Tribolium castaneum: one gene and its partner. The protein of the gene in region 2 binds, or shares a complex with, the protein of the main gene of each other region. Links are inferred from orthologs where the notes say so. Each region holds a gene or a part of one and is shown on either strand. Other genes may lie near its edges.

The links.
Region 1: CSN7 (region 2) and CSN8 share a complex: the UniProt entries of both Drosophila melanogaster proteins name them as parts of the CSN complex. The link is inferred for Tribolium castaneum from reciprocal best matches to the Drosophila melanogaster genes CSN7 and CSN8.

The regions. Positions count from the first base shown.
Region 1 is NC_087398.1:6,313,342-6,316,224, reverse strand, and holds CSN8 (COP9 signalosome complex subunit 8), read right to left. Parts: upstream 1,416-2,883; 5' UTR 1,289-1,415; coding exon 1,232-1,288; intron 1,165-1,231; coding exon 1,094-1,164; intron 1,045-1,093; coding exon 863-1,044; intron 811-862; coding exon 560-810; 3' UTR 505-559; downstream 1-504. Other genes in the region: RabGGTa (geranylgeranyl transferase type-2 subunit alpha), read right to left, coding at 1-129, 178-180; pcm (5'-3' exoribonuclease 1), read right to left, coding at 1,930-2,013, 2,060-2,332, 2,380-2,505, 2,552-2,758, 2,810-2,883. UniProt on the Drosophila melanogaster protein: Probable component of the COP9 signalosome complex (CSN), a complex involved in various cellular and developmental processes.
Region 2 is NC_087395.1:497,506-502,009, forward strand, and holds the start of CSN7 (COP9 signalosome complex subunit 7b), read left to right. Parts: upstream 1-1,525; 5' UTR 1,526-1,622; coding exon 1,623-1,787; intron 1,788-1,835; coding exon 1,836-2,000; intron 2,001-3,918; coding exon 3,919-4,227; intron 4,228-4,283; coding exon 4,284-4,454; 3' UTR 4,455-4,504. Other genes in the region: IQ domain-containing protein E-like, read right to left, coding at 1,054-1,215, 1,263-1,277. UniProt on the Drosophila melanogaster protein: Component of the COP9 signalosome complex (CSN), a complex involved in various cellular and developmental processes.

The DNA of each region.
Region 1 (2,883 bases), on a different chromosome or scaffold from region 2:
ATAATTCTCCTTATTTCTCGTCGACAAGATCTGCTTCATTCCCATGCGATAAGCTACCAGTTTCTTCTGCTGCTCTTTCTGCTTTTGCAGCTTCTGTTCTTCGCTAGTGCGAACTTTGATCCTTCCATGCTGGAAAGGAATCGATTAGCAGTGCCTTTGGACGACCGAATGCTTTACCATTTTTGCGTTAAATTGGAAAATAAAATAAAAAATAAATTTTGGCCACCCAATGACACAAACGTCAAGCGTTTTTAACCTCAAATCCCAGGCGAGTTGTCAAATTGACAGGCTATTTGGCGGTTTTTATGAATTTTGTTCATTTCGTTTCGCTCGATTGAGGCCCCCATGGTGAAGCTGGAGCCATTTAGTCGCGTGTGAAAACTGACTGCGTGTAGGGCGACGCCTGTGGATTATTTTATATCTGAAGGTGTCACCCGTTATTTTAGGAAATTGTTTGGCATTACACCAAGTGGTTCTGCATTGTGTCAATTAAATGAGAAGGAATTTACTGAAATATTTATATTAGCTTACAATTAACTTATAAAAACAAAAATACAATTCAATTTTCGAGAAATGATACAAAATCTGTCAGTTTATACAATTGATCTTCACTACTTGTCTGGCCAGAAGTTTGTGGGGTTGGTCTAACGGGGTGAACCATCCTAGTGTCGGCTTCCACTTGCCAGCCCCTCTCCACACAAGCCGTTGCACAAATGTCTGGGGGCAAGCCCGTCATTGCAGAAACAGTGTCTAATGTTATTGAAGAATACGCTTGTGCTATTAAATCTACTGATCTATTTCTCACTCTGTCTGTAAAACGCAATCATTAGTGGTGTTTAGAGTGATCCAATTAGCAAGAAACCTTGAACTTGTTTCATAATATTCGCCACACCGTCGGACCATGTTACCGCGTTCAGAGCCTTGTAAATCCCCGGGAAGTCCCTCTTCCACATATGCTGGGCCACGGCCCAGATGTTGTTTAGCTCAGGAGTGGACGACTTCACCGAAGCCGGGATGCGTTTCCATAAATATTTTGCATTGCATCTACAACTAGCCTTAGCGGCAATACCGAACCAAAACCGGCGATACTTACAAGTCGTTTTCGTATAAATATATAGCTAGGAGTTGTTCGTAAACTTGAGGTGATGCTATACCGTTCTGTGCCTGAAAAAACGCCAAATTTGTAAAAAATTGGAAGTTTGAGGTTATATCTCTCGATGATGACTCTTACTTCTAACTCTTGCTTCTCTAAGTCTTCTGCTAATTTTTCAATGTTACTAGAAACCATTTTGTGAGGAGTTCTTTATAATTTGGTTTTAACAAATGTCTCGTTTTAAAATCATACACATTTTTTATTTACGAGTGCGAACAACCAACTGACCAAAACCCGACTGCGCCGGAAATGCACGAACGCTGCCGACGCCCGCGAAAAACGTCGCCATTTTTTTTAATTTCAAAAAATTCACAAAAGATCTAATGCCTAATTAGGTAATCACGTTTTCATCGAATTAATTTGAATAATAAAGCCCGAGTTTGTGTTTTATGAATTTATAAAATATCAAACACCACCCACTGTCGTTTCATTCCATGATGATAACCGGTCAATGTAAACCGCCCTTTATATGGACAAAAAATTAAAAAAGTTAAAATTCAAATATATTAATTAAAATAGCAATCTATCAATGTGTTCGTTAAATTTTTGACCACATTTTTGCTTGGTATCAGCAGCACAAAGGTAATGAAAGTCCACAGGCAAAGAAGGATGTGTATATTTACAGCATGAAAGCGTATATACACTCAAAAACCACATGTTTTGTTCAAGTTTTGTCCATAAATATTTCTTTAAAAAGGAATAGTTCAATCAACCTAAAGTGGAGGAAATTAAGACGGAACAAAATGTATTTTAATTCAGTCCATTAGTTCTTAAAATTACTGATTGAATCTAGCTGCAATTCTAGTTTTCCTCTGCTTTGCTGATTTATCCCGCCGGTCATTTCGCTCCAACTCACATGCCTGTAACAAGTCAGTCAACTTAAATTATCCCCATTGCAAGTTTCACCTTCGAGATTCCAGCGTTTTGGCTGTTACTTGAAACATCAGTTTTTTCTTGTTTTTTCCGCGGTGAATTTTCATTAACATTCTTATTCCCAGTGTTAAGATTCTTATTCCCATGAGTTTGCTTCTTTTTTAACGCTTGAAGCGGCACGAAATTGTGTGCTTTCGCACTCGTGTGCGGATTTCGACTAAAATTAGACTCGGGGTCCCTTCTACTGTAGTCCGTTTGGTGCGGGGGCGGCATTCTCTGATGCTGACTATGTCCACCCTGTTTGAACTTAAAATAAAAGATTTCGGCGTTTCTTTGACGATTTAGAGTGGTACCTGGTACGACTTATTCACAAAAACTTGGGATGGCATTTTGTTTTGTTGTTGGCGGTCTTGGACCCACTTGGTTGGGGGCACGGGAAATTCGGACGGAAGGCCCGTTTTTGCTGGCTTAGAACTCTTCTAGGAACATACTTTTAGTTTTATTATTTTTACGTAAAAATCTTACATTTTTTAGCATGTTTAAGGCATCTAGCGCCACATTTTCACTCGCTTCTTCCCGAGATTTTGCGGTTTTTCCCGATATGGATTTACCGCTAGGTAGAACAACTTGTGCAGCATATCCGTTGTTTTGTTCGAGGTAAAAATACCTCGGACAACCCCAAGCGTTTGACTGATAATAGCTTAATAAATTAGCGGTAGCGCTCGCCGCAGTCTAACAATTACATAAGCAGTGGAATTTTAATCGCAAAAATTGGTTATTTACCCCCATTTCCGGCTTTCGACTTGATGAAGTTGAACAATTTTGAACCGGCACATTTAATTTCGGATTACTCGATT
Region 2 (4,504 bases):
TGCTCTAATTACTTTTTGAGTTAGACTGTTTTTTTAACAAAAATAAAAAAATACATATACATATGAATATGTTTTTTTTTAACAATTGTTGCCTGAAAATGATAAAATTTTTCCGATTGTATTTTTGTTACTACAATGAATTTATCAGTAAAATAGATTTTTTTGACGAAAAAAAAATAAGTAAAATAAAAATAGAAATTTTTAAAACTTCTTTCCTTAAGACAATAAAATTTTTAAGTGTGATTTTATTACTACAATTAATTTATTAGTAAGACTTATCTTTTTTGATCCTAAAAATAAAAAAGAAAGAATAAAAATAAAGAATTCTTAACAGTTTTTATATCTTATATAATTATACTTTTTTAAGCTTAGTTTTTGTTCCAATTGATCGTCTTTTTTAGATACCGAAAATTAAAAAGAAAATCAAAATAAAAAATTAAATAAGAATTTTTAACAATTATTGCCAAAAAAAAATAATTTTAACGTTCGTTTTTTATAACCACAATTAGTTATCTGTAAGACAGCAAAATTAAAACAAAAGTAAAAAATAATTATGTGGAATTTTTTACAATTTTTAAGCTGGGCTTTTGTTACTTCAATTAATTTATTAGTATATTTAATATAACTGTTTTTTTTGGCTCCGAGAATTAAAAAAATAAAAATAAGGAATCTTTGACATTTCTTACCTAAGGATGGTTAAATTTTAAAGCTCGGTTTTTATTTACTATTTAATTTATCGGTATGATTTATTTGTTGCCTTATTTGACTATACTTATTTGAATAAATTTGTACAAGTTTTATAGACGCCAATTTGTTGTAATTTTAGCAAAACTTTTTATACATAAACCTAATAATAACAGCTAAATTTAATTGTTTTACCTTCAATTACTAAGAAAATCATTTATTTATTGTCATATAAGGATAAAATTACAAACAAATAGTGTCAATGATGTTTTGTGAAAAACTTAAAAGAAATAAAAGAACAAATTCTCCGAAAGAAAGCGAAACACTAAAATTGTTTAAAAACTTGAAACTTTTAATAGAGTTTTTTACCTTTTTTGGATCCAATATAGCATCAATTTGTTTATCCTTTTTAATAATTTCATTCTGCAATTTGCGTATTTTCACCTTTAGCATACGATTTTCGGTGCTAATGTTGGATAAATTTTTCTTCAGATGAAAAATTTCAGTCCGCAAATCTCCATCATCTTGTAACTAATAATACAAAGTATAAATAAACTAAAGTATAAATATTTTATTACCTCATTTCGAAACATTGTAGCCGAAGACGAAGTTACGTTTGTTTTGTTTGTAATTTAAGTATTGATCAAACAAATTTTACAATGTAATTAGCAACGGATTGCAGCAAACACAAACATAAATATAGCCGGGTTAAAAATATTATATAATTAAAACTATTGTATCTATTTTCTACTATTTCTTACTTTCTTTAATCAATGTTGTTAAATTTTAAACAAATTTAAATTTACCGCTTTATGTCAAAAGCTGCGCAGGCGCAATTATGTTTCTTTGACATTTGACAGCAGCGTGTGACAGCTGATCGGTTGTTGTGTTTAAAAAGTGCTTCAAAAACAACAAATTAACTAATAAAAACTAAAAAAATGGTTATTGAAAAAAATCCTTTCCCTGGCAATGCCTTGGAACAATTTGTTTTATTGTCAAAGTCAACAAAAGGGGCTGCTTGTTCCGAACTGATCAAGCAAGTGTTGGAAGCCCCCGGTGTTTACGTTTTTGGTGAATTACTTCACATGCAAAACATTGAAGAGGTAATCAAACATATTTTTACATTTATACATTAACTAAGTGTTTTGTAGTTGAGTAATACACCACAGAAAAATTTCTACAACACTCTCAACTTGTTTGCTTACGGAACCTACAAGGATTATCTAGCAAATAAGAAGGATTTAATTGAATTAAGCCCAGCTCAGAAGAAAAAGCTTCAACATTTAACCATTGTTACGTTGGCCACCAAATCAAAGGTAGTTAAAGTAATTCCACTTTAGTGAAATTAAGTTTTTAATATGGATAACTATAGATTAGGAAACGACACGACCTACAAATAAAAAGTCCTCGTTCTCGATAGTTTCGATAGTGTTGTGTAGATGGCGGAGCACATTATTGTATTAAAATTTATCAATGGTTTTAATAGCAGTTAGCACATGGTATCCAAAAAAAGCATGTTAATGCAGCTTTTGGCTATCATTTTTTATTAAAAAAAATACAAGTTATTGCAATTTGCGAATGTTTCGGCATAAAAATGTCATCAGCTCTTAATGATTTTGTTTAATCTAGTTTGTTTAAAAACAAAAAAATTGTTGGCGTTCTTTCCAAAGCACTCTTTGTAAAAATGCTTTTTTCTCCATTTTGATGAGCATTTAAGATTCGATTATATCATGTGATACATAGATGTAATCGGAAATGAAAACACTTCAAAAATACAAAAAGCAAATATGGCTTCCATAAGAAAAAACAAAATTTAGTGTTGTAACACTGACATCAAGAACGCCTTGGAAAATGGGACGACAGATTTAGATTTCTTGTAAAAATGTACCTAAAGAACGTTCTAGTTAAAAACGTCTAGTTCTTTTGGTTTTCACTCGAAAAAAATTAAAACCCAAATTTTAACCACCTCGTATCTCGTATAATAACTGAGATTCCCATGGTGGAGCTGAAAAAACGGCCACCCAGTACATTGTTTTGACTACTATAACAATCTAAAGATAATCGAGTATATTCCTAAAATTCATAAAAGGGACATAAATTTGTACCATGTTACATGTTCAAGTTAACAAAAAAAACAAATATAAAAAAATTAAAAAAAGATTTTTTAACCATTTTTGCCTAGCGATAATCAAACTTTTCTGCTCGGTTTTTGTTACTACAATGAATTTATCAGTATCTAATACGAGTGATTTTTTTGAAAGTGAAAACAAAAAAATTAAAAACATTTTAAGCTTCTTTTTGATCCAAAAACTAGAAATTTTTACCGTACTTTATAATAAATCTTCTAAAAAGTCTGCAATTTTTTTTTATTTTTTGTCAAAAATAATTAAACTATCGACAAATTTACGTCATTTTCAAGCATTTTTGCACAAAAACTATTCAGTTCAAAATTGTACTATTTTTTAACTTTGTAAAAAAGTTGCATTGCATTTTTCTCTACAACTTTTTTTTAATAGAACGACTCTATTTTCTTAACGGCAATGGAAAGAATATCGATATTTATGGTGACTTTTATCAATACGTCCTATACCAATCTCTTACAGTTTTTGAAAAAAATCACAAAAAACGGATTTTACTTGGTAGTTTTCATAGTTAATCAAGTATACCTTGCAAAATGGTCAACAATTATCAAACTTCAATTTTTTATTTAGTTTTTAGCTGTTTCATTATCGAATAATCAGTAAAATAATCACATTTAATTATAGTTTATTATAAGTTAGTGAATTATGTAAAGTAACTCAGTCAGTTTGCCATTGATCCTTGAACTTCTTGAATGAAAATGGTAAATAAATAGGACATTTCTTTTTGTTAACAGTACAATTTTATCGTATTTTTCAAAAGTTTACTTGATTAAAAATGAAAATAATGAGCTAAAATTCTGTTTTTTGCGATTATTTCAAATACTGTAAGAAATAGATATATAGAAGATGTTATTAAAAGTATGCATAAAAATTGATGTTCTTTTGATTGCTATTTAAAAAACTGGGTAATTCCATTTGAAAAACTGTTTTATAATCATTTTTTAATCATCATTTTCAACAAATCATACCTCTAGCTATGTTAGAAGTTAAAGTTTCTAATGTAGGCTCTAAAAGAATCAGCCTATCTACTAATTTAACAAAATTTGATTGATTTTTCTTAGAGCAAGTAATAATAAAAACAATGTTTTTTTAGTGTATTCCGTACAACACCCTTCTGGAAGAGCTAGGCATAACAAATGTTCGTGATTTGGAGGACTTAATAATTGAGGCGATTTACGCTGACATTATTCATGGAAAATTGGACCAGAAAAATAGTCAATTGGAGGTTGATTATGCCATAGGTCGTGATATTCGTCCTGAAGACATTAATGTAATTGTGAATTGTCTCCAAGACTGGTGTTCGGCCTGTGAAGGTGTTTTGGCTTGTGTTGAAACACAAATACATAGAGCAAATAATGAAAAAAATAAATCAATGTTGAGAAAAGCTGAAGTGGAGCAAGAGGTATTTTTTTCGAGTTTGTATCATTACTTTGTTTTAGATATGCATTTTTTTTGTAGATTAGTAACATTAAAAAGACTCTGAAAACTCAATTACAAGAACGCTCTGATGGAACTGACGAGGCTATGGCTACTGATAACAGGGAAGCTGCAGCAATTAGCGAAAAAGGAAAAAAGTCAACTAAAATCAAAGGTATAAGGCATAGCAGTAAGTTTTGGCTTAAATCTTAATAATTTTTTTCTAATATATTAACATGTAACAATTTTAATGAGATCGTAAG